7 linked regions of the Oryctolagus cuniculus genome follow. The protein of the gene in region 6 purifies or fractionates together with the protein of the main gene of each other region. This does not show direct contact. Links are inferred from orthologs where the notes say so. Each region holds a gene or a part of one and is shown on either strand. Other genes may lie near its edges.

Region 1 (4,783 bases), on a different chromosome or scaffold from region 6:
GAGTCTAAGTACGCCACACAATACATACGGACAATGGGTATTTGAAACCACCGGTTCTCAACTGGCAACGATTTTGCCTCTCCCTTTCCCTGGGAAACCAGGCAACCTCTGGAGACACTTCTGGCTGTCAGACGCTGGCATCCGGTGGGGGGATGCTAGATACCCTCCCCAGCTACACGGGCAGCAAAGCATCATCTGGCCCCGGGGCCACCAGGGCTGAGGGTGCACAATCTGTTCTAAATAAACACGCTGAGTCGTTTGAGAGGCAGAGAGAGAGAGAGAGAGAGAGAGAGAGAGCGAGAGAGCGAGAGAGAGAGAGAGAGAGAGAGGTATCTTCCATCAGCTGGTTCACTCCTCAAATGGCTCTACCAACCAGGGCTGGGCCAGGCTGAAGCCAGGAACCAGGCATTCCATTGAGGTCTCCCACACGAGTAGAAGGGGCCCAAACAGGTGGGCAGATGAGCCATCAGCGCTGCTTTCCAGGTGCATTGGCAGACAGCTGGCTAGAATCAGCACTCTGACACAGGACACAGGTGGGCGGTCCACGTGGCAGCTGAACCCAGGGCCCCAGAGCCCACCTGCAGCTGAACCCAGGGCCCCAGAGCCCACCTGCAGCAGCTCACAACCACAAACTCCTGTGACTGTCTCCCATGACTTTAAAACAGGATGCAGGTATTTCAAAGTTGGTGGAAAAAATTAAAAGGTAGTTTTGGTGTAAAAACAACTGAACACACGCATAGTTTTCTCACAATACACACCTTCTGTGAAGGCGGGGAGGTACCTGCAGGGCTTCACAGCTCTCCCGATGCGCCTGTCTCAACAATACTATAGCACAGAGGCTCGTGTTTGATACAGAGTCAGGACGCCAACGGGGGTCCCCCATTCCACTCAGCGGGATCTGGGCTCAAGTCCCAGCTCTGCTCCTGAGTTCTACTTCCTGTGCATGTGCCCTGAGAGCTGCAGATGATGGCTCAAGTCCTCGGGTCCCTGCCGCGTAAGAGACCTGGACTGAGCTCCAGGCCCCTGGCTTCAGCCTGGCCCAGCCCCAGCTGTTGCAGATATTTGAGGAGTGAACCAGTGGATGGGAGATCTGTGTCTTTCAAATAAATAATAAATTTTTCTTTAATCACATTATTAAAACCAGCTAAGGCAGTACACATAAACATGATGTTTATCTGCCCAGGAACCAAATGAAATGCCTGTTGATTTGTTCCAGTCAGGATGGTCCTACACCTGCCCAGTTAAAACAGCACATCTGCCCGCTTGCCCAGTTTAATTAGTGCAGTACCGTGCCTGTGTGCAAACTCGCCCAGCAGAGGCCAAGTGGCCTTCTGAAGGCACCAATGTCAGCCTCTCCCGGGCAGGGCTGGGTGGAACAACACTCTGCAATCTGGCAGAACAAACTCCATCCAAAGCCGGGTTGAATGGGGGTAAACTCAGAGGCCGCCACAGAGAGGGGCAGGTGCTCAGACCGAAGGCAGCAGACGCCGTGTCTGTGGATAAGCAGCCTGGTGTCCCCAGGCCCTGCCACCGGGCTCCCCTCCCCCACCTGGCTCTGACCATCTGCTCTCTGAGGGCTAGGTCTCTGTGATGCCCCTCCCAGAAAAGCATCGAGCTGCTGGCTCCCCTCCCCCAGCGCAAGGAGGAGCTGGGGGCACCAGATGGGCAGAGCTGGCTGCGTCAGGGACTCAGTCTCTGCTTGTTGACTCACCATTGTCGAACTCATCAGGAATCTGGGAAGCAGAGAGAAAATGCAAAGTTTGGGGTGGCAGAGGCAGACCCCACCACCACCCAGCAAAGCGATCTCCAGGGCCTGATTCCAGGTAGGGAGGGGCTTGCCCTAGACCCAAAAGGAGCCAGAGCGGACCCAAAGGAGGCCCTGACACCCACCCACAGGCTGGGACTCCTGGCAAGGCCTCTGGTCTCTTTCCACTCACCTTGGCACCGTTTTCATCCACAGGGTTGTTTCCTGCAAGGGAGACAGGAGTGAGGGAGAGGAGCTGGGCGCTGCCTCCTGGGTCTTGGAGGAGATGGGGGACAGGGGGCATAAGTGCACCAGAGACACGGCCTCCTGGGTTGGGGGGGACGGAGCCCCCTGGTGTCTGAGCGATGACTGTGCTGGACTGTGGCTGCAGGGAGGAGACACAGCCCAGGAGGCTGGTCCAGGCCTTCCCCACCTCCCCTCTTCCAGTGGCTCCCCACAGCCTCGTACAGGAGCCGACCAGTTAGAGTAGAACCTTACACAGGGGTGAGAGAGACGAAAGGAGACCCCCGATTTCCAAAGCAGGTTTCCTACTTGGTGGCCCTGTGCAGGGAAGCGCCCGGGAGTGAAGATGAGTGGCCCAGGGGCGGCCCCAGGGGAACAGAGAACTGGGGGGCCGGGGCGTCTCACCGAAGATGTAGACGATGCTCACGGTCCCGCCGGCCCCAAGCAGCCCAGCAAGCCAGAGCGCGACTTTCTTGGCATAGCTGGGACCCTCGGAGCCCGGCGGCTGCTGCTGCTGTGGTCCCGGGGCCTTGGCTCCCCCGCGGCTCCCAATTTCCGCAGCAGCCTGTGGTGGAGAAGGGGGTGAGGCCCTGCGGCGCGGAGGGCGCTTAGCCTGTCCCGCGGAAGGAGCCCGGGGCGCGGGGGCTGGCGGGCCGTGGGTGTCAGGAGCGCCGCGGGCCCCACACACGGGGCGTTGGGCCGGGAGGTCAAGGCGTCCGGACGCCCAGAGGGGCGGGGGCGGGCAGGGGCGATCGCTTGTCTGGGGGTTGGGAAAGTGGCGCAAGGAGGCCACGGACTTGGAGGTCAGAATGGCTGGGTCCCGTCAGCACGGAGGCGGGTCGAACTGGACGCCTGACGTCCAGCTCACCTGCCCCACGCCCGAGGCGGACAAGAAAACCTCAAGGCCAGGCTGGGGCTCTCCCGCAACTAGCGCCGGAGTGGTCCCCGAGGTAGGGAGCAGGCGACCCTCCGCCCCCGGCGCCCACGTGGCTGAGAGCGGAGGTGCAGAGGGTGCACTCGGGCCCCAGCATCCGGCCGGAGGAGAGCGCAGCGTTCGCTCCGGGAGGCACGGAGCCGGCCCGAAGGGCGGGCAGTGTTCCATTCAGCACCCTGAGGTGCGGCATCCCAGAGCCACTGGGCGGCAGCTCCCTGTCTAAAACTCCAAGGCGCGGCCGCCGCGCCCGCAGCGCCTGGCCTGTCCCGCTCACCTGGTCTGGGGCCCCGGGGGGCGGCGTCGCCAACCGCGTGCACAGCCCCCGCGCGCCGAGCCGGAGCCCGCTCCGCAAGCGCGAGAACAGCGCCGCCGAGGCCGCCATCTTGCGCTGACGCCACGAGGCCCCGCCCAGTCTCCCCGCTCTGCCCGCCCCGACCTGGGCCTGCGGCCAATCGGGGCACAGAGGAGGGACGGGCGGACGGGAGCCCGAGAGACCCAAAAGGCCTTGGGCGGACTGCCGCCGGCGCGCTCGCTCCTGACCAGTGTCCTGGCTGTCCTCGGGGCCCGTCAGCCGGGATATGGCCACCTAGCTCCAGTCCTGGGGAGCACCACTGGTACTGAAACTGGACGTGGCAGGGGCAGGGGTCACACTCACGGCTACCCGATTTGCCCCCAAAAACTGATAAGGAATCAGCTCATCTCGGCCCCTGGGGGGTTCTGCCTTCACCTCCTAATTGCCCTAAGTGAAACCAGCAGCGGGCGTGTAGCCTAGCGGTTAGGGCGCCCAGCGTCCCACACCGTATCACCTGGGTCTGATACCCGGCTCCAGGGCCGACTCCACGGGAGACCGGGGCTGAGCGCCCGGCAGGTGGGGCGAGCCAGCAGGTGGCGCTGTCCCCGTGTCAAATGAAGGGAAGGAGGCTCGGGACCCAGGCAGTTCTCTCCACTGCTCCTCCTCCTGCCGAGCGGGGCTTGGACGCTGCTCTCCTCGCCTTTCCCTAGGTCTTTCCTCCGTGGGGAAGCTGAGGCTTGGGTAAGAACTGACCCCACTTACAAACAAGGCCAGGCTCAGGCATCCGGCGCTGGGCGGGCATCCCATACGGGCGCCGGTTCGAGTCCCGGCTGCTCCACTTCCAACCCAGCTCCCTGCTATGGCCTGGGAAAGCAGCAGAAGATGGCCCAAGTCCTTGGGCCCCTGCACCCACGTGGGAGACCCAGGAGGCTCCTGGCTCCTGATCAGCTCAGTTCCAGCCGTTGTGGCCATTTGGGGAGTGAACCAGTGGATGGAAGATCTCTGTTATCTACCCCTCAAATAAATAAATTAAATTTTAAAAAAGACCAGGCTCAGCACTTTTGACCAAACAGCTTTTTATTGAAAGATCGTAACTCAAAAGCAAGCCGGGGGCTGGGGTACAAGAAAGTGGGGCCCCTCCTCCGGACTCTACTCTGATTCCTAGGAGCATGGGGGGGAGGTGACCCAGAGAGGACACCAAGGCAGTCCAGGCCGGCCAGCCCGGCCACTCTGCCTGCGCCTCGGCCCCAGGCACGCCTCAGGCCTCCAGCAGCTTCCCCAGGAAGCGGAGGTTGAGGATCTTGAGCTGCTCGTCCAGGTCCATGCGGACGATGCCGTCCTCACCGTCAATGCTCAGCAGCACTCCCGTGGCTTCCCGGTCCTCTCCCAGGATCACCTTCACCTGCGGGAGGCAGTCAGAGTCAGGGCCCCGCGTCCTCCACCCCCCACCCTCGGCCCCCGCCCCTCGGCCCCCGGCCTCACCTTGTTGTTCTTGGTGGGGGTGATGGGCTCCAGGTGCTCGCTGGAGATGCTGACCACCTTCTCACTGTCCTTCAGGTACACGGAGCAC
Region 2 (4,788 bases), on a different chromosome or scaffold from region 6:
TTAGATTTTCTACTGGTGCAGATATGTCTTAACAGGTTTCAACAGTGTGCCTTATTAGCAAAAACACACTGAACACAGAAGATGCAAAGCTCTATTTTTAAAAAATACTAATTGTGGAGAATCAGTCATCTGATTTTAAATGTATAATTTGAATCAAATCAACTGAAATATTCCTTGACTCTGTACATGACAATTAAAACGGGGGGGGGGGGTGTGGATACCTGTACACGCCATTTATACCTCTGACTTTGTCTTAGAAACAGTACTTTGATGAAATACCTTTTTCCGTTCGATCTGTTTTGAGTTGCGACCAGGGAAATTAACTGCGACCAACACGCACACTTGATTCTATACAATTGCTGCAAAGATACAGATGAGAAAACCATTGGAGACAATGGACCTCACCAAGCATCATCTTAGCGGGTGGACTTTTTCCACTGCAGGGGCTCCCGCGAGCTGTGGCGAGAGACAGCGGTACCGCTGTATACAGTAAAACATCTTTAGGACCGAAAAATAAGTGTCATTTAGAGAGCAGGTTGGCTCCAAAGCATGCTATCTCCATGAGGTGATGAAAAAGGTTTCCTGCCTGTACTTCTGTATAAAGACCTATTGTTTGCATAGGCATTAATTACAGTCCTAGGAGAAAAGCCCCCGAGGTAACTTTCACTGTTGCCTTCTGTACTTTCTCCATTGTTTTTGGAGGAAAAATAAGCATAAAACAATGGAGGAGAGAGAGTGGACCGGCTTTGACAGATGCCACTCTTGCAGGATGACAATGGAGACGGGGGCAAGGCGGGTGCACTCCCAACTTCCTTGAAGTTGAGAACCAGGGGACGCTGCTGAAGAAGAACAAATTAGTTTTTAAAAACATGGTCCAGGCTGCCTCCTCCACAGCTCCTCCTAGAAACAACCTCCGTGGATGTCTGGAGCAGCAGGAGGGTGGAAACGCAGTTCTTCCCAAAGGAAAAGCCCCACCAGTGGCTCCGCTGCTGCTCCGAGTGGGACCAGACGAAGGTCAGCTACTAAATAGCAAAGACCTAACCGATAGCGCGCGGGAGCCAGTCCTCCTCCACTCGTCATCTGTTCGCAGTGGGGGGACTCGGGACGACTTGTTGAACCACGCGGGGCTTCGGCGCCCACTTCACCCAGTGCGGCCACCGAGTGGGGACGGGACGGCTCGGCCCGGAGTCCGGTGGGGGACGCCGCGCCCACCCTCCGGACCGCAGGGACCTCCGGGGGAGTGAGCGCCCCGACCCGCGGCGGGGCCCCCGACTTCAGCCCTCTCGAGACCCGTCCCACGCGGCCCCACGCGGCTCCTGAGGCCCGGGGCGCGCGATGGCCCCTTCCCCCGCGGGGGGACAGGAAGCGCGCGTCCAGCTCGGGACGGAGCTGCCCTCCTCCCACATCGGCCAGAGTGGGGGTGGGCCGGCCGCCCGGCTGCGGACCACGGCGCCCCCTCCGCTCCCCTGCTGTCTCTGGCGGCCAGGGAGCCGCCGGCGGGCCACGCTGGGAGCGTCCGAGGGGCGCGCGGGCACGCGCAGGCGGGCGGGCGCGCGCGCGGGCCACCCCGCCCCGCCCCGGGGCGGTCGGACGGCGGCGGCGGCGGCGGCGGGCGGCGCGGGGACTACTTTCGGCGGCCGCCCGCGCCCCGCCCCTCGTCCTCGCGCGGCGGAACGCTCCGCGCTGCGCCGGCGGCGGCAGGATACAGCGGGCCAGCGCGACTTATAAGAGCTCCTTGTGCGGCGCCATTTTAAGCCTCTCGGTCTGTGGCAGCCGCGTTAGCCCGGCCCCGGGAGCTGAGAGCGAGGGGGAGGCGGAGACGGAGGAAGGTGCGAGGAGCAGCTGCGGTCCCCGCCGAGCCGCCACCGCAGGCCGAGGACGGTCGGACGCCCGCGGCGGGTGGAGCCTGTTCCCCTGAGGTGCTTGGACGCTCCCTTCCCTTACCCTTCCTGGGCTGCTCCCGCTCCCTCTTCGGAGCCAAACTTCGTCCCGGGCGCGCGGTCCCGGCGGCGGGCGGGCGGGCGGGCAGCCGGGCCCGGCGCAGCCCGGAGGGCCGGGGTGGGGAGCCGGGGACGCGGGCCGGCGACGGCGGGGGCGGGCGGCGTCCAGGGCGCGGAGGGCGGCGGCCGGGCCCAGGTTCCGGCCGCGCTGCCCCTCGGGGGGCCCCGGGGGGCGCCGCGGGCGGGGAGGGGGCGCCGCGGGGGCGCGTCCAGGAGCCCGGATGACCGGCGGCGGGGTGGGGGTGGGAGGCGGCGGTTTCCGTCCCGGGCTCCGGCGGCGGCCGAGTTTGGGGGAGGGACCCTGCGCCTCGGGATGCGCCGGGGTGGGGGGCGGGGTGCGGCCGGGGGGCTCCGCCTTCGCAGCCCGGCGGCGAGTTTGGGGGTTCGGGACGCCGGAGGCCGGGACGCCACCCCCAGGTGCTGTTCTGCGGCGGGGAATGGGAGCCGGTGGAGTTGGCGGGTTTCCTCTCTGCGTCTAACAGACGACTAAGGATATATTGTTAACAACCCTGCCTATGTGAGTTCGAATCGAAACAACTTTAAGCCTCAGAGTAACTAAACTCTTCGTGCAGCCGGCGCGATGCGTCAGTAGGGTGTGCACCTGTGAAGTGTGCGTCGTGCACCGAGGTTTTCTCGTGCGTGCAGGCGAGTGGGGGCGGCGTGGAGCGCTCTGGGTTTGTGGCCGTGGGGCTTGAGACCCCAGGACCGTAGGGGAGGGGACGACGGGGACCGGCTCTTGGTCCCCGAGCGGCCCGCAGGCTCCAGCCTCCGGCTGCCTGGAGACTTCTCGATCGTGGGAATAATTTATTCCAATAGTTGTGTGGCAGCTGAAGTTGATTCCCCTCTCCCCTTTTTAGAGCACGTTTTCTTTTCAGCGGAGCGAATTTTTTTTTCCTCCCCCACGAAATGGGACAGACGAGAATCCAAGCATTGTAACTTCTTTTCGGTGTTTTGTGCGGGGAGAGGACTTTGAACCCGACTCTCAAGGAAGTTCGGTTCCCGTCGCCGGCTTCTGGATCTGCCGAGCTGGGGCGCGGGGTGTAGTCGTTTCCTTGCTGGAGGGGGCATTGTCTCCTACTTTGTGTCTTCCAGACATCTGTGGTCTCCCCTCCCCCCGAGTTTGTGCGCGGTGAATGAAGGGAGACTGGGCTGCTGGTATGCAGAGGTCGGCGAAAGGAAATCGAGGAGTGGTTTTAGTGAACTGAGAGCTTTGTATCGTGAATAATGGTGGCTCAGACTAGACAGCAACTTGAAGAGACGGCTGCGTTTCCTTTGATGACGTCTAGGCCGATGTTTTTCAGATCGCTAAGTTGTAAAGTATTTTGTCTGGAATTTAGAAAGCCATTCCATTATTTACTTGCCACTTGGTGAACCGTCAGTACCCTTCGTTGGCTTCCTGTTAACTTGTCTTCATTCTAGTAAATATTACATCGAGCCCGGAGTGTTACCTACATTATGCTGCTGTTTACTGTTTGTTGGAATCACTGACTATTTTGGAGGTGTTTTGTTTGGATTAAAGCTACTTTCATTTTACTTTTAAATTCTCAAAAATCTCAGGTAGAAGAAGAAAATTCCCTTATGGTTTATTGGAGGTTGTCCTTTCACACAAGACAAAATGTGATTAATTTGCACCCAGTATTCATTACTTTGACCTAATCTTTGTTCTGAAGGCCAAGCACAAAGACAAGGCCCTGAAGTGATCACAACAGTAACTTGAAAAACTTGCAGAAGTCTGTTCTCCAGGATTAAGGGAATGCGGAGACCATTCAGTCTGAAGTCCTTGAGAAGGAATTGAAAAACTGCCCTAGAAAGCTTAGTATTGCCTGTAGCTTAGAGTCCTGTGGCGTCCTAGGCCTGAGAGCCTCCCATAGACCAAAGCAATCATTTAAAACAGCTTTTAGGAAAAACCAACTTAAAAAAAAGGCTAGGAAAAAAAAAATAAAGCATTTAGTAGTGTTCAAGTGTCAAAACTTTTTTAAAAAACCCATTGGCATCTGATGTCTTTCAAGATTAAGTATAAAAATATATTCCATTATTAAAATTTATCAAACTGAATTGACCTAGTAATGGCTGGCATTGAAATTGTCACAAATGAAGGCCTGTATGCTTGTTTTTGTAACCCCACTGCCAAAATGGAAAAAGATCGAGAGGAGGAAATTTTTCTAAGGGTGATTGAAAATATGGTACATAGAAAAACTGCAGGTAGCATTTTTGTTCCAGTTAGGAGAGGCAGAGAGAAGGAGCATGTTGTTACTGTTAAAACTAGGGGTATAGAGAGTTTGATTATCATTCATTTATGGTTAAAGGTAGTGAAATTAGAACTGGCTGTTTAAGTCTGTTCAAATGAAACAATACATTTGTTATAAGGTGATTTTGTTTCCCTGTCATAGTCTACTAGTTGGTGATAATAATTGTAGATGAGTAGGTGGTAAAAAGTTTATACTCTGAATGGGGTCAGAGACATGCTTGACTGCTAAGCCAGGGCAAGAAGGATGAAAGCTTTTATATCTGGATAGACTTCTGATGTTAAAGGGGGGGGGGTATTGTAACCAATGGGGGGTATTGTAGTGGTACATGCTGGTTTGTGATTGTTTTTGAAAACATTGCTTGTATTAACTTGGTTGTTTTCTTGTAGGCCTCTATTTATTGGAACTATGGTATCTATTGTTGAAACAGCTTGACTGAAAACGTTTTTATACCAGGAAAGTAAATAGTAAACATAGACCAGAATCTTTTTCTGATTTATTCAAAGCATGTAGCTATTGCCTGTTGCAGCTTCATGGAGAAG
Region 3 (4,249 bases), on a different chromosome or scaffold from region 6:
GTGCACACACGTGTGTGTGCGTGTGCACGCGTGTGTGTATGTCCCTGTCACTCTGCCTCTCAAATAATCAATCTTTTCTAAAAAGAAAAGAAAGCCTATGACAGAGAGGAAGCAAAGGTGGCAGGATACTAACAAAGGGTCAGTCGAGGCAGCGGCTGTAAGGAGTGGTCAGTGCACTGTGTTTTCACCTTTCTGTGCATCAAAATAAAAACATTTAAAAATAAGGAAAAGCACAAGGCAGTGCTTGCTCTGACCCAGTGTGAAGGAATCACAAATCACTTTCAGTTTGTGTTCATTTGTGTATTTCCAAAATTTCCTGCAGTACATTTTGTCTAAAATTTCTTTTGGACTCATAAAAGTCACAGAGCCTGTGGAGTGACCGTCCACATACATGCAGCACTCAGACAGAACAAGCACCCGGCACACTTAATCCTCGCCGCGCGGGCTGTATTTTTAGCCTCATTTCACCGGGAAACCAACACCACAGAAGTTATGAAAGCTGCTCAAGGCCACAGCGCTAGCAGAAGGCAGGACTCGGCGTCAGCAGCGAGAGGGCCGCGCGGCCACGCCAGGCGCCGGTGCCCGCGGACGCTGTCTTCTGTGTGCCCCCAACCTCCTCGACCACATGCTGGCTGAGGCAGAGAACACAGTCCAGGAAACAGAGGAGCTGGCGAATGCCCAATAATCTTCTACGGACAGTGGACGGCCTGTTACCCCAGATCTCTCTCAAACTCAAAAGTACCGGCTCTGCCTTCATTCTCTCTCCAAAAGTTAACCATCAACGGAGATGTCAGTCATGCTCCAAGTGCAAGGGGAAACACTGTGCGGCAACCCCGGGCAGGAGACGGCTCCACAAAGGAGCCTCTGGGTGACACTCGGCGAGAGGAAGCCCAGAGCTGCCCTCCTGCCAGGCCGTGGGGCGCTGGGCACTGCACGTCTTGTCTATGGCCTGCGATCCATGCTCAGAACACCAGGATGCTCTGTGTGTGAAGTTTACTTCGGAGAGAATTTCCATTATAATCTTTTCCCAGAAACATCAAAAATGTAACATCACTTATTTATTTTGTAAAAAATGAAGTCATTTTAATTTTACCAAAAATACACACAGCTGAACATGTGTTTAAGCAAGGGGGAAAATGAAGAACGCAGGGAGGAACAACAAGGCAGCAGCGCACTGGGACCAAGCGGGGGACAGGGGGAGACGGGGGAGACAGGGGGAGACAGGGGGAGACAGGGGAGACAGGGGGAGACAGGGGGAGACAGGGGGAGACGGGGGAGACGGGGGAGACGGGGGGAGACGGGGGAGACGGGGGAGACGGGGGAGACGGGGGAGACGGGGGAGACGGGGGAGACGGGGGAGACGGGGGAGACGGGGGAGACGGGGGGAGACGGGGGGAGACGGGGGGAGACGGGGGGAGACGGGGGAGACGGGGGAGACGGGGGAGACGGGGGAGACGGGGGGAGACGGGGGGAGACGGGGGGAGACGGGGGGAGACGGGGGGAGACGGGGGGAGACGGGGGGAGACGGGGGAGACGGGGGGAGACAGGGGGAGACAGGGGGAGACAGGGGGAGACGGGGGAGACGGGGGAGACGGGGGAGACGGGGGAGACGGGAGACGGGGGAGACGGGAGACGGGAGACGGGGGAGACGGGGGAGACGGGGGAGACGGGGGGAGACGGGGGGAGACGGGGGGAGACGGGGGGAGACGGGGGGAGACGGGGGGAGACGGGGGGAGACGGGGGAGACGGGGGAGACGGGGGAGACGGGGGAGACGGGGGAGACGGGGGAGACGGGGGAGACGGGGGAGACGGGGGAGACGGGGGGAGACGGGGGAGACGGGGGAGACGGGGGAGACGGGGGAGACGGGGGAGACGGGGGAGACGGGGGCCCTCACAGCCCTCCTGGGGCGGGGGGGAGCACCCACTCACACAAGACACAGCCGTGAGGGCAAGGGGAGACAGGGGAGACGGGGGCCCTCGCAGCCCTCCTGGGGTGGGGGGGGAGCACCCACTCACACGAGACACAGCCATGAGGGCAAGGGGAGACAGGGGAGACGGGGGCCCTCGCAGCCCTCCTGGGGCAGGAGAGGAGAGGGGGAGCACCCACTCACACGAGACACAGCCGTGAGGGCAAGCGACTGCTGAAGCACACGGAGTTTGCAAGCCAGAGAAACACAGTGCTCCAGGACACAGAATAGAGTGTTATCACAGGCAGTCAAAGCACACCCCCCCTGAGAAGACCGCTCCCCTGCACACAACTTTCACGCTTTGGCACGCATGCACCCGCCATTCTGTGCCTAATTGGGCTTGTTACGATTATTACTGAAAAAAGTAAGAAGCATTCAGTACTTACTACTGCTTCCATATCAGAAGTGTCAGTTGGAGCAAACATAGACTGAACCATAAACTTGTGCTTACTTTTCTCATTGGGGTCATAATCGAAAGGCTGTAACATCACTGAGAAAGAAAATATTTCATTAGGAGGGTCAGAGCTGGGTTATCCGCGCCACTCGTCACGCTAGTGCTTGTCCTGTGCCTGGGAAGCTGTTGCCCGCGTCCTCTGATCTGAGCCTTCGGGCCAGCGCTGAGGGAGCCGGTGACCGCACCTTCCCCGAGCCGGTGCAGAAGGTCAGGGCTGGGTCTTCCGGCTCCCAGCTGTGCATCTCTCAATCCTCCAGCCTACCCTCGACCCGGCGGCAGGCCTCGGAGGGCAGGCGGGCGAGGCAGAAACCACAAGCCTGCTTCTGTTCCAAGCACCTTTCAGAACAGCAACAGAACAATCCGGAACATGGAAGGAACTGTTTCAGCTTCTCTCCACCCCATTTCCTCCTAGTTCATCAAGGTAAAGCTTGAAACACAAAGCTGCCACCAGAGCAGGAGGATATGCAGAGAGCACAGGAAAACCCACAGCTCACGGCCCCTGCTCCTCGCAGGCACCCGGAGGACACCCCCCACCCTCACCAGGGGTCTGTGGACCAGCAACAGCCACAGCCTCCGCTGCCCTCAGCCTCTCCCACAGGGTAGACGAGGGCCTGCCCCGCTGACGAAATGATGGCCGCTTTAAAATCTAGTCTGCTGCAGGACTTGGGCTAAGCCCTCATCTAGTGAGGTTCCCTGAAACACAGCTCCACCTGCGGGAGAGGCCTCCTGGGGCCCTGCCTCCAGGCGGGAGCCGGCAGGGACCTGGCACCTCCATGTGGTGTTGCCAGAACGGGGCTCCGGGCTTCGGATCAGGAGGCCGTGTGACTCTGATGCCCACTTTCTGAAGCCCAGAGAAGTGACCCGCTATGCCTGAGGTCACACTGGGGAGAGGGCAAAGCCAGGCCCCAGCGGCCTGCCAGGCGAGCCCTTGCTCCCGGCAGGCGCCCTGAAGGACCTCCTCGTCCTCGTCCTCGGTCCCTCCCGCCGGCAGTGCTCCCCGTCCCGTGCTCCTCAGTGTCCTCTGAAGCTCATCTCGACACTGCCCAAGGCCAGCACTCAAGGTCCCGGGCGGCCAGGGAAGGGCACTGTCTTCAGCCCTGGTCCACGGCTGGTCCACGCCGGGGAAACCGGAGGCCCCACAGGGGAAGCAGCCGAGACCTCTGACTCCCGGCGGCCCCTGCACCCCACTGGACACGCCCACGACAGGGACTCCGGGATCTGCACTGATGGGGAATAGAAAACGCCAGCTTCCCTCCCCCGACTCGGGAGATGCAGGACAAAGAAGGTGCGTTATGAGCTCCCCACACATCAGACCGAGAGCACCGGCCGCCCACAACACTCAGCAGAGTGCTCTGAGCTACAGGACAGAATTCAATGCACACTGAAGAGCAAACCTTGCACACACACAACGCAGCGTCTAGCCAAGGGTAACTACAATAAGGACATTTGGTCTGAACCTCAAAATCCAAACAGTGTAACCATCGGCAGAGAGAAGGAAAGCCACTTAGGAACAAGGGCCACTCTTCTCGGAATCCTATGCCTGCAGGCACAAAGGCGTGGTGCACTCTGGACAATCCGGCCCTCACTAGTGGCTTTCTTTTTAAAAACTTTTTACTAGAGAAAGAGAAAGACAAAGACAGAGATAGAAACACAGAACAAGACAGAGATCTTGCAACCACTTAGTCCTCAGATAGGCTGGCCCAGACTGAAGCCAGGAGCTTAGAACTCCAGCCTGGTGTATCACGGGTGCAGGGGGCCAGGTACATGGGCCATATTCCTCTGCTTTCCCAGGCTCATCTGCAGGGAGCTGGCCCAGAAGCAGAACAGC
Region 4 (3,288 bases), on a different chromosome or scaffold from region 6:
ACGTGGGTGGCAGGGGTCCAAGGACTTGGGCCATCTTCCACTGAGTTCCCAGGTGCATTAGCAGGAGCCGGATCAGAAGTGGAGCAGCTGGGACTGCAAACGGTGCCCACGTGGGATGTGGGCTACACAGCAGCAGCTTACTCTGCTGGGCCAGCGCTGCTTGGGAGATGTTTTTATTTTTTTTAAAGATTTATTTATTTACTTGAAAGTCAGGACTACAGAGAGAGAGAAGAGGCAGAGAGAGAGAGGAGTCTTCCATCATTGGTTCATTCCCCCACTGGCTGCAACAGCTGGAGCCGCGCCAATCCAAAGCCAGGAGCCTGGAGCTTCTTCTGGGTCTCCCACATGGGTGCAGGGGCCCAAGCACTTGGGCCATCTCCCAATGTCTTCCCAGGTCATAGCAGAGAGCTGGATCGAACTGGAGCAGCTGGGACTCGAACTGGCGCCCATATGGGAAGCCGGCACTGCAGATGGCGGCTTTAGCCAGGAAATGCATCTTCTTACTCCCACTCATCTCGTGGCCCTTTTTTTAGTACCTGGGGACACGCCCCGACTTCTGAAGGGTCCCCCAACCCTTAGAGGAAAGGGTGTCCCAGGAGAAGCGCCGGGGGCTGCCCCTGTCAGGCGGCACCTCACCCAATCGTCTCTGGTCACTGTGGCCTGAGGAAGGCACTGACCGACCCTCCTCGGGGCCACCCTGACAAAGGTCAAGTGCCACGGGGAAGGGCTGTGAGCAGACGCACCTGCGCCACGCGTCGGCTCACAGGCGCCCTCTGGCGGCCCGTGGGGGCCCTGCAGGAGGCCGGGACAGCTGTAGGATTTAGTGCCCTCAGGGGCGGTGCTGCCGAATGCGGGCTGTGGGGTGAGCGGCCCCAGAGAGGCCAGGGGCGGGAGAGAACGGAGGGCAGAGGATTCTGGCTCTGAGATGCAGGGGTTCCAATCAGCGGGCAAACAAAACCCTGGGCGTCTCCCGCAGGGCCGCCAACAGGCACCCAGGCCTCTCCCCCACCCCAGCACAGGGCTCTGCCCACGGCCCCATCTGTGGCCCCGGCGAGCGTCTGAAATCCTTTATTGGAAGATCACTGCTGTTTTCCAAACAGAAGATTCGACAGCCAACAGAGAAAACAGAGCCCGCGGCCCCTGGGCTGGGGACCCTCCCCCCGCCCAGCGGACCAGTGTGGCGACCCCTGCCCCTCCCCGGACCCCGGGGCCTTTGGCATAGCGCTGACGGGGAGGGGGCAGCCGGGGAAGCCCCTTGGGTGGAAGCAGAGTGGGACGAGCGGTGGGGGGGCGCGGGGGAGGGGAGGGCGGCCCCCCGGGGCTGGGGGCAGCAGCGGACACAGAAGCGGGAGCTGGGAAGAGGGCATCTATTGTGTTTTCCGGGCGGCGGCGGCGGCGGGTCAGGCGCTGGTGTCCTCCTCCGCGCCGGCCTTGGGGGCGGCGTCCAGCAGCGGGTCCCCGGGGCCCACCCCCGCCCCCTCCTTGGTCTCGCTGGACTTGGAGTTGGGGACCCAGAGGCCGGAGTCGATGCAGCGCTGCATGTGGTACTTGGCGTCCTGCGGGGAGGAGGGCGGCCGTGAGGCGGCGCTGTCCCGGCCCGGCCCCCCACCCGCGCCCGCCTGGGAGACCCGAGGGAGCCCGGGCACTCACGGCGGGGTCCATCTTGCTGATGGCATCCTGCAGCATCTGTACATCTTTCACGTCGAAGCACTTCTGCAGCTCCTGGGGGCGCAGGGCCGGGTCAGGGCCGGGGCGGGGTCAGGGTCAGGGTCCCCCCGCCCCGTCCCCCCCTGGAGCCGCGCCCCGCCGCGCACCTCAGGCAGGGACTCACCTCAGGCAGGGACTCGTAGACCTCCACGGGGTCCAGGCCGCCGGGGCCCAGGCGCTTCCTGCGCTCCTCCTCCTCGTACTCCTTCATGGCTTTCTCGATGCGCAGCTTGGCGCGGCCCCGCACGCGCTCCTTGAAGGCCTCCAGCTCGTCGTTGAAGCCCTCCATGTACTGCCGGTCGGCCGTCTAGGAGCCAGCGGGCCGTGACCGCGGGCCATCCCCCCAGGGCGCCCTCCCTCCAGTCCTGTCCCTCAGTCCCTCGGCCCCGCCCCCGAGCCCAGCTCCTGGTCTCCATCCCCAGGGCGCCCTCCCTCCAGTCCCGCCCCTCCGCCCCCGCTCCCCTCCAGCCCAGCTCCTGGTCTCCACCCCCGGGGCCACCCCGCCCAGAGCACCCTCCCTCCAGTTCCGTCCCTCGGCCCCCGCCCCCACCCCGACAGAGCCCAGCTCCTGGTCTCCACCCGGGGCCACCCCGCCCAGGGCGCTCTCCCTCCAGTCCCGCCCCCGCGGCCAGCTCCTGGCCTCCACCCGGGCCCCCACCTTGATCTTGGTGAAGAACTGCCGGAAGCAGGCCCGGGGGTCCACCTTGAGGCTCTTGGCGAGCTCCAGGATGAACTGCATGACGATGGTCTGGTGGGCCACCTGCTCCATGAGCGCGCATTTCTGCGGAGGAGGACCGGCGCGGCGCGTCACCAGGGGGCGCTCGCGGGCCCGGCGCGCCCCCGCCCTGCCCTGGCCCCGGCCTGGCGGCCCCGCCCGCGCACCTCCTCCACTTCCAGGTCGATGCACCAGATGACCAGGTAGTTGGCGGTCTCCTCGCACACCAGGTGCACGTTGTCCGCCAGGTACTTCTGGCTGTCGTCCCAGCGCCGGAGCATGCCTGCGGGGAGGCGGTCGTGGGTGCTGGTGAGGCCTTGGGGGCGCCGCGCCCTGCCCGCCCCGGGGGGCCCGCCCCCACGCGCCCACCCCCCAACCCCCCACTCACCGAAGTGCTTTATCTGCTTCTCGTACTTCTCCACAAAGGTTTTGTGTTTCTGCTCCTTCACCTCCTCCGAGTCCTCCTCCGCCTTCTCGGGCTTGGTGTTCACCATGCTCTGCGGGTGGGTGAGAAGGGGAGTGGGCTGGGGGCGCCCAGCCGAGCGCGGAGGCCGGGGCCGCCGCGCCCAGCCCGTCCACGTCGACGGCGCCATGAGCAGCAAGGAGGCGGGAGCGTGCGCGGGGGCCTTCGGGCAGATCAGAGGGGGGCGCCGGTGGGGTGCGTCCTCCGCCGGGCCCCCCAGGCAGGCTCCACACGCGCCCCGCCCCCCGCCCCCCGGCGGCCGCCCCCAGCCCCGCGGCCCGCGCACGCGCACCTTGCTGAAGCCGTCCTTGCTGAGCGTGTCCACGTTCCAGGGCAGGCTCTTCTCCTTCTTGCGCATCTCCTCCAGCTTCTGCTCCCAGCTGCGCTCCTCCTTGCGCAGCTG
Region 5 (3,432 bases), on a different chromosome or scaffold from region 6:
TCGTCCCTTAACTTAGGAGCCAAGTCCATACTGAACCACAGAAGCTGGTCACCAGATTCAAATTGACAAGGAACACCCACAGTGGGGGGGTAATCCTCAAATAAAATACCTTCAATATTTTTCAAAATTAACTATCTCACCCCACCTTTATAAACTGCCTTGATTTCCCATCCTAAACCTTATTAATGTACTTATGCTATAGATATTAAAAGGCACAAGAGCCAGCATGAAGGTAAATTTTAATCTATAAAAGTGAACACAAACCAGCAGCTCACACCCTTTCATACATGGAATCACATATTTACAGGATACAAGCATAATGTCCCAAGCCTGGGGTAGGTGTACCTTGTGCTAACAGAGTCCTGGAAACAAATGAGGACCTGGGTTGGTGCTGTGGTGCAGCCAGTAAAGCTGCCACCTGTGACAGCAGCGCCCGGTGTCGGAGTCCTAGTTTGAGTCTCTTACTCTGCTTCTGATCCAGCTCCCTGCTAATGGCATCTGGAGAGGCAGTGGAAGGTGGCTCAAGTGTTTGGGTCTCTGGCACCCATGTGGAAGAACAGGATGGAGTTCCCGGCTTCTAGCTTTGGCCTGGCCCAGCCTGGGCTGTTGCGGCCATTTGGGGAGTGAAGCAGTGGATCTCTCTCTCTCTCTCTCTCTCTCTCTCTCTGCCTTTCAGATAAAGAGATAAAAGTTTTTAAAAAATGAGAGGACATGACCAAGACTCTGACACTTCATAGGTGCCCCTGGAAAAAGGGAGGGAATGAACATGTGCTGAACGTGTGCGTCGGGAGCTGGCCGAGGGCAGGTGATGGCGACAGTGACTGGACTCTGCTGCTTGCTGGAAAACAACACATGCTAGATTTGGTGATTTACAAAACTGGAAAGTTATCCAGGACTTCACGCACACAGAATTATAGAATATCAAACAGTGGGAAGCTAAATATTGTTTCTCTAGCTCCAAAATTTTTCAGATAAACAATACAAACAAGCAAGTTTGAAAGGAATAACATTTTAATGAAAATAACAAATGAAACAGAGCAGGAAAACTGATGGCATTAGCCGGAAGAACCCTGAAGAGTTACAGCTTCACACAGAGGAGCCGTAAAGAAACGACACAGACGTATTATGACTCAATGGACACAAAATCAGCAGTAAGATGCTCAACGTTCGCATTTTACAAATGAAAGTATGTAGAAAAGTAATTTTTCACTTTATTGTTTCTAGTACATTTTACAAATAACATTTAGTCCAGAATCATGAACACACATGCAGCAAAGTGCCTTCTTAATCTCACAAGGGCTTCTCTTTTGATTCCTTTAGCTGATTTGCATAGAATTCGAAGCTTTCCTGTTAATAAGGAAAAAAAAGGCAGAGAAGAGGGAAGTTAGAGAAAGAGTTCACAGCAAGAGGTAACGTCAGGGGCTGGCACTGTGGCGTAGTGGGTAAAGCTGCTGCCTGCAGTGCCGGCATCCCATATGGATACCAGTTCGAGTCCTAACTGCTCCACTTCTGATTCAGCTCTCTGCTGTGGCCTAGGAAAGCAGTGGAAGATGGCCCAAGTCTTTGGGCCACTGCCCAGGAGGAAGCTCCTGGCTTCAAACTGGCCGTTGTGGCCCTTTGGGGCGTAAACTAGCAGATGGAAGACCTCTCTCTCTCTCTCTGCCTCTGTCTCTCAAATAAATAAACAAATCTTAAAAAAAAAAAAAAAGGGGGTAACAGTATAAAATCTAAAAAAATTATAAAGCAAACTGGTAGTTAAGACTGCTGGTCCTGCGGCCAATGCCACCCCCAAGCTTTGGCACAGTCTTCTGTTTCATGAAGTCACAAGTTCAAGGGCCCCAAAAGCAGAGCAGAAGCCTCTGCTGTGTGCATGTGTGCACGTGGGTACGGAAGGTCAAGGTGTTTGAAATAATCCAGGTGCAGTGACTTTCGATTCAATGAACAAAAAGGAATTCTGCATGTGTGATTTCTCTTACTGAAAGCAAACCAAATTTCCCAGATGAAGAAATCCAAGAAACCCAATTCATCTAAAACGAACAAGTAATTAACAGGGGTATATGTTTGGCTACTGAAGTCCAGGCCATCAAAGCCTGTTTCAAGTTGAAACAAGGTGAGAACTGCCCCAAGGACACCGGAGAAATTCCCTCCTCCAGCTGGAGGTCTGCCACGGCCTTGCCCACTGCCTCGCCCCGAGGGCCCTGTCTCCCAGAGCCTCGGCCACCCCCCAGGGCTCCACGCACAGGCCTAATCCTTGCGTAATTAAGTATTCAACTTATGTTCTTACGCATTGCTCGGAGGCCCGTGTCAATCTGCAGAGGTATTTTCTCCCGTAATTAAGAAATACTCACAGGGGGCTCCGGGAAGGGGACTGACTCTCCAGCGCCCTTCAGCAAAACCGCGTAGCGCTTCAGAAACAGGTCGTTCAGTTTTGTCTTCTTTGCAGTCAAATGTTCGTACAGTGCTTTAGCAGACGCGACGTCTTTGTCCAGGACTGAGGAAAGTTACAGAAGAAGGTGTTAGCCACAGGCAGAGACCACCTTTTCCCCAAAACTCTCAGCTGCTCAGGGGCGGCTGGGTCCCTCTACCCCACGGCATGTGACTAAGTAACGACCTGCGGCAAGAAGTCCTATTCAGAATCTCCACCACCCGCTCGGCGCCAGTCACGGTGGAGGCGAGGGGAGAGGCCAGGTGTGGCCACACTCAACTGTCTGCAGAAGAGCGTTGAGTGGCACTGCGTGCCCAAGGTATCCCGCGGAGAGTCAGTGACCACACCGCCGCCCCTGGTTATAAAGTAATCAGCACACGCCATTCAAGCCCCTGCTTACAATCCACACTTTGAATTCAAGAAAACCCAGCCTGCTGTGGTGAGGGGCATGGGAATGATGTAGAAGCCTGCATATCTGCACCTATCAAGATTAACAGCTAAACGTCCACAAAGACTTCAATATATTTTCCTATTTTCAAATAAGCAAATTCGGAGAACATAAGTAGCTATGATGACAAAGCAAAGCTCTAACCAGTCAGAATCATACTGCACTAGAACGACACGGGCCTAGCAGCTATGACGAGCTGGCCCTTGCCTTGTGGCTGATTGGCCAAGTTTTGAAATATTTATTTATTTGAAAGGCAGAGAGATAGACCAAGAAGATCTTCCATCTGCTGGTTCACTCTCCAAATGCCTGCAACAGCTGGGGCTGGGCCAGGCTGAAGCCCAGGAACCCCATGCAGGTCTCCCATGTGGGTAGCAGGGACCCAAGAACTTGGGCCATCATCTGCTACCTCACAAGGTATGCAGTAGCAGGGAGCTTGACAGGAAGCGGAACAGGTGGGACTTGAACCAGTGCTCTGATGTGGGATGCCATAACCCACTGTGCAACACTGCTGGCTCCCGGGGACTTTGTATGAAGAGTGTTAACATCTAAGGAACTCTAC
Region 6 (4,249 bases):
GCTCATCCCCTGCAATGGGAGGCACTGGTGTGGGGCCTCTGCGTGGGGCTCGGACTGGCCCCATGCCCGGGAAATGCACCCACCCTAGCCCTGTGGAGAGAGGGGCTTGCTCCCCAGGGGCCCACAGAGCCCAGGCCCTGCCCCTAAGTGCATACCTTGGCAATTTGCACACACCAGTTCAGTAAGTCCTGGGAGCCCAGGCGCCCGCGGTGTTCACGGACATGGTCCAGGAGGCAGCCGTAGGGCATCAGCTGTGTCACCAGCTGCACCGTGGACGTCAAGCAGATGCCCAGGAGGCGGGACACATAGGGGGAGCCCACCCCTGCCATCACGTATGCTTCCTGGGGGCCAAAAAATCGTCAGAGACCAAAGACCCCAGCCCCAACTGCCTCCCGTGACTGGGGACCCTCACCCTGCCAACCCCAACCATCACAAAACAGCCACGGACCACAGACGGGGGTGTTGAGTTGAGGTTTGGGAGTCCCATCCCCCCAGACACCAGTGCAGAAAGATCAGAGCCCCACCCTACAGCCAGGGTGTGAGGGGAGCACGGGCTTACGTCCAGGATCTCTTTGTTGGCTTTAGGGGATGTGTTTTCCCGCAACACTTTGATGGCCACCGGGATTTTCACATTCTCCCCATCGGGGATCCAGATGCCCTGAGCAGAAAAACAGCCATGAGCAGGGGTCGGACCAGCCCCACCCGTCTCCCTGAGAGCCCTTCCCTGTCCCATCGCCTCGCCCTCCCCCTCCCCCACACCCCTGCAGGGACAGCCCCACCCCGGGGACCACCACCCCAGCTCCTGACCTTGTACACTGTGCCGAAAGCTCCTGATCCAAGCACCTTCACCTTCCTCAGCTCCGTCTCCTTCAGGATCCGCATCTGAGCCTGGTTGGGCATCGCTCCGCTGGGTGTTAGTGGCTCCACCAGCTGTGGGGCGGAGGTGCAGCTCAGTGCTGGGGCCGGGGCTGGGTCCCAGCCTCAGGCCGGCAGCGGCGGGGGACAAGGGGCCCTGGGCCGGCTCACCTCCGTTTCCTGCAGCAGCCTCCGCATGGTGTACTTCCGGATCTTCTGCCGCCTTCGCTTGATGAAGATCCCGAGGACTGACCCCATGACCACGACCAGCAGAATGCCCACCACAGCAGCGATGATGGACGTGACAGGGCTGGGGGTGAGAGCCAGGGTCAGGGAGGGGGCCACTCGGGCAAGGGGACACAGGGCCCCGGGGGCGGGACACGACAGTCCCTAGCATTGGGAAGGCTGGCCACAGGCTCTGACCCTCTCTTCCCTACACGAAAACCTGCCGAGGCTCCCCACTGCCTCCACAATGAATCCAAACTCCCAGCTAGCCTTTCCAAGCCCTTTCTGTCCGGTATTCTTGCCCTTGGCCATAGCTCAGGGCTTTACAATTTCAAGGCAGCAGAACCCCCAGGGAGCTTGTTAATATGCACAGTTGCAGAGCCAGGCCCCTCCCTGGGATTCTGATCCTCATGTGGGTGGGGCCCAGGAATGTGCACCCAGCAATTCGCTGTAGCACCAAACCAGCGTTTCACTCCCGGTCGGTCCCAGCCCATCCTCCTGCTTGGACCACCACTTCTCCACGGGCCCACCTCCAAGACCCAGCTCACCCTGGATGGAGCCTCTGGGAGTCGACCCAGCACTCTGGTCATCCTTGTCCCTGTGCTGGCCCACCTCCCCACCCTTGCCCTTCTCAGCCAGGGTCTGGGGCAGAGCAAACCTCGGAAGAATGCTGGCTGAATCTATTCCTCTGAAAAGCCCCTCGCTGGCCAGACAACCATGTTCAGCTCAGTGGCCTGGTGGTCAAGGCCTCCGTGCTTCAGATCCAAACCCTAGCTGACTCTGACCTCCCCCCTTGCTCCCTCCCTGTGCATACTCGACAGCCCATCCCCACACCAGGACCTTGGCACACAGCCTGGATTTTCCTGCTGCTTCCCCCATCCCACCTAAACGCAAGCGAAATACCTGCCCCTCTTTCAAAGCCACCTCCTTGAGGCCTCCTGCCATCTCCAGCTAAGAATCTGTCCTGTTTCCGTGCCAGTGCTGCAGCTGCACCTTTCTCACCCTACCCTGAGTTCCAGGGAAATGAACCAGGCCACTCCAGCGGGCAGGACCTGGGTGGGGAGGGTCTCAACCATCTTCCCGCCCCCAGCACCCTGGGCAAGTGGGATCACCAGTGTAAGGGTGGCCTGGGGAGGGAAGTGTACGAGGTGACCCCTCCCTGCATCAGAGGCCGGCTGGGGAGACAGGGGCACCAGGAGGAGACTGGGCCAACCTGGCTCTCTGCTCCGCGGGGCAGCCTTTGTCATCCAGGTCCACGCAGCTGCAGGAGAAGAGAGTCCCATTAACAACTTAAGGAACCATCCTTCGGGGTTCCCCCAGCCTCATCACAAACCCCAGGGGGTGGGTGTAACCGGGTTACTCTCCCCAAGTGACAAAGGTAGAACCGGGGCGCAAGGTCACTCTGTTCCATCTTCCGCACTGAGAAGCGACTCCTTCTCCAGCCGGGAACCCACATCCTCTGCTCCCTGCACTGCCCCGCGGTGCTGGAAAGCGCAGCTGCTGCCTCCACAGAGCACGGTGCCACACTCCCCATGGCCCCACACGCCTCCACAGAACACGGTGCCACACTCCCCACGGCCCCACACGCCTCCACAGAGCACGGTACCACACTCCCCACGGCCCCACACGCCTCCACAGAGCACGGTACCACACTCCCCACGGCCCCACACGCCTCCACAGAGCACGGTACCACACTCCCCACGGCCCCACACGCCTCCACAGAGCACGGTACCACACTCCCCACGGCCCCACACGCCTCCACAGAGCACGGTACCACACTCCCCACGGCCCCACACGCCTCCACAGAGCACGGTACCACACTCCCCACGGCCCCACACGCCTCCACAGAGCACGGTACCACACTCCCCACGGCCCCACACGCCTCCACAGAGCACGGTACCACACTCCCCACGGCCCCACACGCCTCCACAGAGCACGGTACCACACTCCCCACGGCCCCACACGCCTCCACAGAGCACGGTACCACACTCCCCACGGCCCCACACGCCTCCACAGAGCACGGTACCACACTCCCCACGGCCCCACACGCCTCCACAGAGCACGGTACCACACTCCCCACGGCCCCACACGCCTCCCTCGGTCCAGCCCCGAAACTGCCCGCACCTGCTGAGGGGACCACAGACGCTCACATGCACGCAACAAACAAAAGGAAACAAGCTTGCTAGCCCTCAAACTGGGTCACAGGTGGAGTCTTTTTGAAAAGGACACAGACCCACACGCGCTCACCAACAGGTGACCTAAGACAGGAAAGCACAGGGCAGGCCTGGGGGAGGGAGGGAGAAGTGAGTGCGGGTGCTCCACGGCCCAGTGGGGTGATGGCTACAGCTCACATAACCTGCTGTGCATATTACCAAGACAGAGGAAAGGAGCTTGAAAGTCCCAAACAAAACAAACAGTAAGGGTCGGGGCTGTGGCTCAGTGGGTTAAGCTGCTCCCTGTCTGTGGCGCTGGTTCAAGTCCAGTCTGTGGAGCCGGTTCAAGTCCTGGCTACTCCATTTCTTTCTTTCTTTTTGGACAGGTAGACAGAGGAGAGAGAGAGAGACAGAGAGAAAGGTCTTCCTTTCGTGGTCTTCCTTTCATTGGTTCACCCCCCCAAATGGCTGCTTCGGCTGGTGAGCTGCGCCGATCTGAAGCCAGGAGCCAGGTGCTTCCTCCTGGTTTCCCATGCGGGTGCAGAGTCCAAGCACTTGGGCCATCTTCCACTGCCTTCCCGGGCCACAGCAGAGAGCTGGACTGGAAGAGGAGCAACCAGGACAGAACCCAGCGCCCCAACCGGGACTAGAACCCCAGGGTGCCGGCACCACAGGCAGAGGATTAGCCAAGTGAGCTGCAATACCGGTCCTGCTCTACTTCTAATCCAGCTGCCTGTTAATGCACCTGGGAATGCAGAGGAAGATGGCTCAAGTGCTTGGGCCCCTGCATCCAAGGAGACCTGGATGAGTGAAGCTCCTGGCTTCAGTCTGAGTCAGCCCCAGCTGTTGTGGCCATTTGGGGAGTGAATCAGCGGATGGAGGATCTCTCTCTCTCTCTCTGCCTTTCAAACAAATAAATAAATCTTTAAAAATAAATAAAGATTTTAAAAAGATACAGAGATGAAAATGCTAATTACCTGGATTGATCAAGACACATTGTCTACACCTATGGAAAT
Region 7 (4,249 bases), on a different chromosome or scaffold from region 6:
ATTAAATATCTGCAAAAAAAAGCTCCAGATTTGCATGTTTTTAAGACTGCTTATTTCCTGCAAAATAAATCTAAAATTAGCTTCCAAATTATGTAAAATAAAAGAACACAACTGAAAGGCAAGAAAACACAGAATGTAAGAAAAACCTTGCATATGAATGGTAAACAGAAGCACTCATATGGAAAATGAGCAGTTAAAAAACTTAGTATCTATCAATATCTATGACATATAAAGTAGGAGCACAGTTCTCTAGCACTGGGAAGCAAAATGACTCTCTCCTATAAGGGACACATGAGGCACTATCTATGGGACTCATCTGGGAAACAACCACCATTTAGGCAGTGGATCTCCTCCTCAACCCCTCATCATGATGAAGTCTGGTAATTATACTCACTAGACTCAAATCTGGTTCCTCTCCACACTTAGAGAGATCTCCATAGACATTTCTGAACTTGAGCGCTCAACTAGACAAAAACACCCAAATTTTTCTACAAGAAATCTAATAACTGATATTAGAAGATAAATATATACAACACAGTCAATGCTGGTCACTAAAGCTTCTTTCCAGAATGCTAAATACCTGAATAGTTTAATATGAAAAGCCTCTCCAGATAAATTATTGACTACAGACACATCCAATATATTCTAAAAACTGGTATCAATAATACCACCTCAATTTTACCCACTCATCTACTAGACAAAAACCTCTACTACTCATCTCCAATATATTTGCAGAAAATAATCCATACCAAAAAAATACCTGGAGTTGTACTTAAGTCTCAGATGGACACTTCATTTCAGGAACAACACTAACCTTCTGTAATTGTTCCAGCACCAGTAGATTCCGTAAGTCCATATCCCTGGCCAACAGGACAGCAAAAACAGATATTCATGAACCGCTGTGTAGCTGCAGAAAGTGGAGCACCACCACACAAAAGAAGTCGAATATTTCCTCCTAGCAAACTTCGAACTTTCCGGAAAACAAAGCTAAAAAAAGGAATTAATCAGAGTCACAGGATTTTAAAGCTGAAAGATTTCCAAATCATTTTCTAATCTCCCAATTATGATATGAGATTTTTTTAATTAAGTGACTTATCTAAAGTCACACAGCCAATTTGGGAGATTCTCTTGACCTGTTATTTAAATCTTAGCTTCTAATAGTTTAACAAGGTAAAGAATACATGAATTCCCCATAAGAAATTTTCAAGTAATATCTAAATTCACAATCATAAGGAGGCCAGCACTATGGTAAAGCCACTGCATGTAGTACTGGCACCCAATATGGGCACCGGTTTGAGTCCTGGCTCCTCTGCTTCTGATCCAGCTCCCTCCTCATGTGCCTGGGATAGAAATGGAAGATGGCCCAAGTGCTTGGGCCCCTGCAACCCATGTAGGAGACCTAAAGTTAGCTCCTGGTTCCTCATCAGCCCAGCTCCAGCCATGGCAGCCATCTGGGGAGTGAACCAGTGGATGGAAGATCTCTTTCTCTGTCTCTCCTTCTAATTCTGCTTTCAAATAAATAAATCTTCAAAAAGAATTATTATATAATTTATTTTGTGTAATAATGGAAAATCCCTTAAATCATAGCAACTAGTTTATATTATATTATTGTATTATATCTACATGAAATTAAAAGCAAATTAGGTTTTTGCTTTACTTCATTAGAAATGTGCACATATTTATACATAGCAACAAAGCTCTTTTTGGTTGTTGAGAGAGAGAGAGAGAGATACGGTGTGTTCCCATCTGCTGGTTCACTCCCCAAATGCCCGCAAGGTCCAGGACTGGGCCGTGTTGTGGGGAGCAACTCGGACTAGACTGTTACTGGAATTAAGACTTATTCTATGCATCTGCTCTCCCACAATATGGCGCTGAGAAGGGATTAACAACTTCTACGCAGCTGCCTCTCGCCAACTTGAGTGATGACCTGCAGGAGCTGATCCTGCTCCTGATTGGAGGAGAGCAGCGTACTCGGCGTGTGGGTAGCAGAGTTGGGATTGGTGGAAGAGGACTATAAAGGAGGGAGAGAGACAACATGCACCAGGAACATCTATCTGAAGGAACACCTGTGCAGCCCCCGAGAGAGCCGGCCGGCGGTGTGCCGCTCCCCCGCGGAAGTGGGGAAAGTGGCAGGGGAACGCCCTTCCACGGAGGTGGAAAGGTCGGTAGCCAACACTGGAAGAACCAGCAGCAAACCCGGGAGGGCCGAGCAGACAAAAGAACAGCGCAGGGTCCGTGTCGTTCCTCCACGAAGAGGGGAGCGACACCGTGTCAAAGCCAGGAACCAAGAATTCAACTTTTCCACATGGGTGACAGATATCAACTACTTAAGCCATCACCACTGCCTCCCAGAGTATACATGAGCAGGAAGCTGACTTGGGGAGTTGGGAGCTGAGTCCAGGCAATGCACCCAAGGCATTCTGATACAGGATTAAGTGTCTTAATTATTAGGTTAAATAACCACCTCCAGGGCTGGTTCTGTGGCATAATGGGCTACACCTGAGGTGCCAGTATCCCATATGGGCACCAGTTTGAGTCCTAGCCACTCCTCTTCCAATCCAGCTCTCTGCTAGGCCTGGGAAAGCAGTAGCAGATGACTCAAGTGGCTTGGGCCTCTGCATCCACATGAGAGACCCTGGCTCCTGGATTCGGATCAGCAAAAGCTCTGGCCGCTACCGCCATTTGGGGATTGAAATGGAAGATTTGTCTCTTTGTCTCTCCCTCTCCCTGTCTATAAGCTATCTCTCAAATAATAAATATTAAAATAAATACCCACCTCCTAGCTATTTTTAATATTTCACTAATTGAAGTTTTATTGTTTAAAAGAAGCATTATTATTGTTTAAAAGAAATCATCTATGAGGAATTAAAAAAAGGAAAATAATTCATCATCTAATTGATAAGTTTCTAATAATATTTTAATAAATTAATTTTAATAAATTAAGATTATTCACTACTTCAATCCAAAAGGGGAAGAAGATTTTTAAAAAAATTTTTAAATAACTTTGAAAAATCAAATTAACAAACTTTCCAAAGCAATGTATATATATCTTGCTAAAGAGATAATAAGGCAGGGAAAAAAGCTCATAGAGTTCTAAATAAAAAGAAGTACCTGAAAACTAATTTTTTCATAAAAATTTGAATTTTAATCATAAAATCATAAATCTATTTAACACTATCAAAATACATATCTGGGATAAAATTGGTCATTTAAAACTTTAAATACAAAACATTTAATCATATTTAGTCTTCATTTTATATTCATACTGAAATTTTATATTGATGCCAATATAAATTTCAAATCAAAGAGAAATTTTCTCAAAGTACTAAGTCCCTTAAGTGTCCACAGAATTACATTAAATAAAAAATTAAAATTAAATTAAATACAGCAAAATTCTAAACGAAAAATATTTTCAAAAGATATTGCAGGTTTTTTCAAGACTTATTTTTATTGATTTGAAAAGCAGAGTTGGAGAAAGAGAGAGAGAGAGAGAGGGACACATACAGAGAGATCTTCCATTCGCTGGTTCATTATCCAAATGGCCTCAACTAAGGGCTGGACCAGGCTGAAGCCTGCAGTCAGGAGCCTGGAGCTTCTTCAGGTCTCCTATATGGGTCCTGGGACCTAAATACTTGGGTCGTTCTCCATTGCTTTCCCAGGCACATTAGCAGGGAGCTGAATGGGAAGTGGTGCAGCTGGAACTCAAATTGATGCCCCTATGAGATATTAACGTTGCAGGCAGTGGTTTAACCTACTATATCACAACACCAGCTCCTGCAGGTTATTTTTAAATACCTCATATTCTTTTTTTTATTATATCTTTTATGTTTTATTGATTTTATTTATCTGTAGACAGAGTTATAGAGAGAAGTAAAAACAGAGAGAGAGAGGTCTTCCATCCGCTGGTTCACTCCCCAGATGGCTGCTACAACTGGAGCTGCGCCAGTAATAAGCCAGCAACCATACAGGATGCCAACACTGCAGGAAGTGGTTTAACCTGCTTCGTCACAATGCTGCCCTCCCCCAATATTACTTATCTCTATCTCAATTAACTGGTTAATTAACATGAATTAAATGATTAAATTATCAAAAGAAAAAGGGAGGGTCCTTATTTACCTGTCACACAGTGGGGTACTACGTCCTTTTGAAATTTGTTCCATTTTGTAATTATAGGCCAGAATAAATAGATTGCGTTGAAAACTACTCATTTCATTCACTTTATTCATGACATTTTTGTAGATCCGATCCA

What was found.
Region 1: the proteins of ERBB2 (region 6) and TIMM50 purify together in Homo sapiens (affinity purification with mass spectrometry; 3 studies listed by BioGRID and IntAct, with this or other methods). This does not show direct contact. The link is inferred for Oryctolagus cuniculus from reciprocal best matches to the Homo sapiens genes ERBB2 and TIMM50.
Region 2: the proteins of ERBB2 (region 6) and CTNNB1 purify together in Homo sapiens (affinity purification with western blotting; 3 studies listed by BioGRID). This does not show direct contact. The link is inferred for Oryctolagus cuniculus from reciprocal best matches to the Homo sapiens genes ERBB2 and CTNNB1.
Region 3: the proteins of ERBB2 (region 6) and VAPB purify together in Homo sapiens (affinity purification with mass spectrometry; 3 studies listed by BioGRID and IntAct, with this or other methods). This does not show direct contact. The link is inferred for Oryctolagus cuniculus from reciprocal best matches to the Homo sapiens genes ERBB2 and VAPB.
Region 4: the proteins of ERBB2 (region 6) and CDC37 purify together in Homo sapiens (affinity purification with mass spectrometry; 3 studies listed by BioGRID and IntAct, with this or other methods). This does not show direct contact. The link is inferred for Oryctolagus cuniculus from reciprocal best matches to the Homo sapiens genes ERBB2 and CDC37.
Region 5: the proteins of ERBB2 (region 6) and LRPPRC purify together in Homo sapiens (affinity purification with mass spectrometry; 3 studies listed by BioGRID and IntAct, with this or other methods). This does not show direct contact. The link is inferred for Oryctolagus cuniculus from reciprocal best matches to the Homo sapiens genes ERBB2 and LRPPRC.
Region 7: the proteins of ERBB2 (region 6) and ACSL3 purify together in Homo sapiens (affinity purification with mass spectrometry; 3 studies listed by BioGRID and IntAct, with this or other methods). This does not show direct contact. The link is inferred for Oryctolagus cuniculus from reciprocal best matches to the Homo sapiens genes ERBB2 and ACSL3.

What each region holds. Positions count from the first base shown.
Region 1 is NC_091449.1:15,489,117-15,493,899, forward strand, and holds the start of TIMM50 (mitochondrial import inner membrane translocase subunit TIM50), read right to left. Parts: upstream 3,352-4,783; 5' UTR 3,304-3,351; coding exon 3,196-3,303; intron 2,553-3,195; coding exon 2,393-2,552; intron 1,970-2,392; coding exon 1,938-1,969; intron 1,734-1,937; coding exon 1,712-1,733; intron 1-1,711. Other genes in the region: SUPT5H (transcription elongation factor SPT5), read right to left, coding at 4,472-4,615, 4,696-4,783. UniProt on the Homo sapiens protein: Essential component of the TIM23 complex, a complex that mediates the translocation of transit peptide-containing proteins across the mitochondrial inner membrane. Has some phosphatase activity in vitro; however such activity may not be relevant in vivo.
Region 2 is NC_091441.1:106,508,124-106,512,911, reverse strand, and holds the start of CTNNB1 (catenin beta-1), read left to right. Parts: upstream 1-1,662; 5' UTR 1,663-1,919; intron 1,920-2,382; exon of another isoform or gene 2,383-2,517; intron 2,518-4,788. UniProt on the Homo sapiens protein: Key downstream component of the canonical Wnt signaling pathway.
Region 3 is NC_091442.1:3,754,285-3,758,533, forward strand, and holds part of VAPB (vesicle-associated membrane protein-associated protein B/C), read right to left. Parts: intron 2,458-4,249; coding exon 2,354-2,457; intron 1-2,353. UniProt on the Homo sapiens protein: Endoplasmic reticulum (ER)-anchored protein that mediates the formation of contact sites between the ER and endosomes via interaction with FFAT motif-containing proteins such as STARD3 or WDR44.
Region 4 is NC_091447.1:67,020,715-67,024,002, reverse strand, and holds the end of CDC37 (hsp90 co-chaperone Cdc37), read right to left. Parts: coding exon 3,178-3,288; intron 2,920-3,177; coding exon 2,811-2,919; intron 2,706-2,810; coding exon 2,590-2,705; intron 2,489-2,589; coding exon 2,366-2,488; intron 2,015-2,365; coding exon 1,832-2,014; intron 1,723-1,831; coding exon 1,651-1,722; intron 1,557-1,650; coding exon 1,401-1,556; 3' UTR 1,053-1,400; downstream 1-1,052. UniProt on the Homo sapiens protein: Co-chaperone that binds to numerous kinases and promotes their interaction with the Hsp90 complex, resulting in stabilization and promotion of their activity. Inhibits HSP90AA1 ATPase activity.
Region 5 is NC_091433.1:158,886,424-158,889,855, reverse strand, and holds the end of LRPPRC (leucine-rich PPR motif-containing protein, mitochondrial), read right to left. Parts: intron 2,492-3,432; coding exon 2,349-2,491; intron 1,348-2,348; coding exon 1,291-1,347; 3' UTR 994-1,290; downstream 1-993. UniProt on the Homo sapiens protein: May play a role in RNA metabolism in both nuclei and mitochondria. In the nucleus binds to HNRPA1-associated poly(A) mRNAs and is part of nmRNP complexes at late stages of mRNA maturation which are possibly associated with nuclear mRNA export.
Region 6 is NC_091448.1:22,673,989-22,678,237, forward strand, and holds part of ERBB2 (receptor tyrosine-protein kinase erbB-2), read right to left. Parts: intron 2,342-4,249; coding exon 2,294-2,341; intron 1,166-2,293; coding exon 1,027-1,165; intron 931-1,026; coding exon 808-930; intron 659-807; coding exon 560-658; intron 342-559; coding exon 156-341; intron 10-155; coding exon 1-9. UniProt on the Homo sapiens protein: Protein tyrosine kinase that is part of several cell surface receptor complexes, but that apparently needs a coreceptor for ligand binding. Essential component of a neuregulin-receptor complex, although neuregulins do not interact with it alone.
Region 7 is NC_091434.1:16,426,020-16,430,268, forward strand, and holds part of ACSL3 (fatty acid CoA ligase Acsl3), read right to left. Parts: coding exon 4,117-4,249; intron 988-4,116; coding exon 815-987; intron 1-814. UniProt on the Homo sapiens protein: Acyl-CoA synthetases (ACSL) activates long-chain fatty acids for both synthesis of cellular lipids, and degradation via beta-oxidation.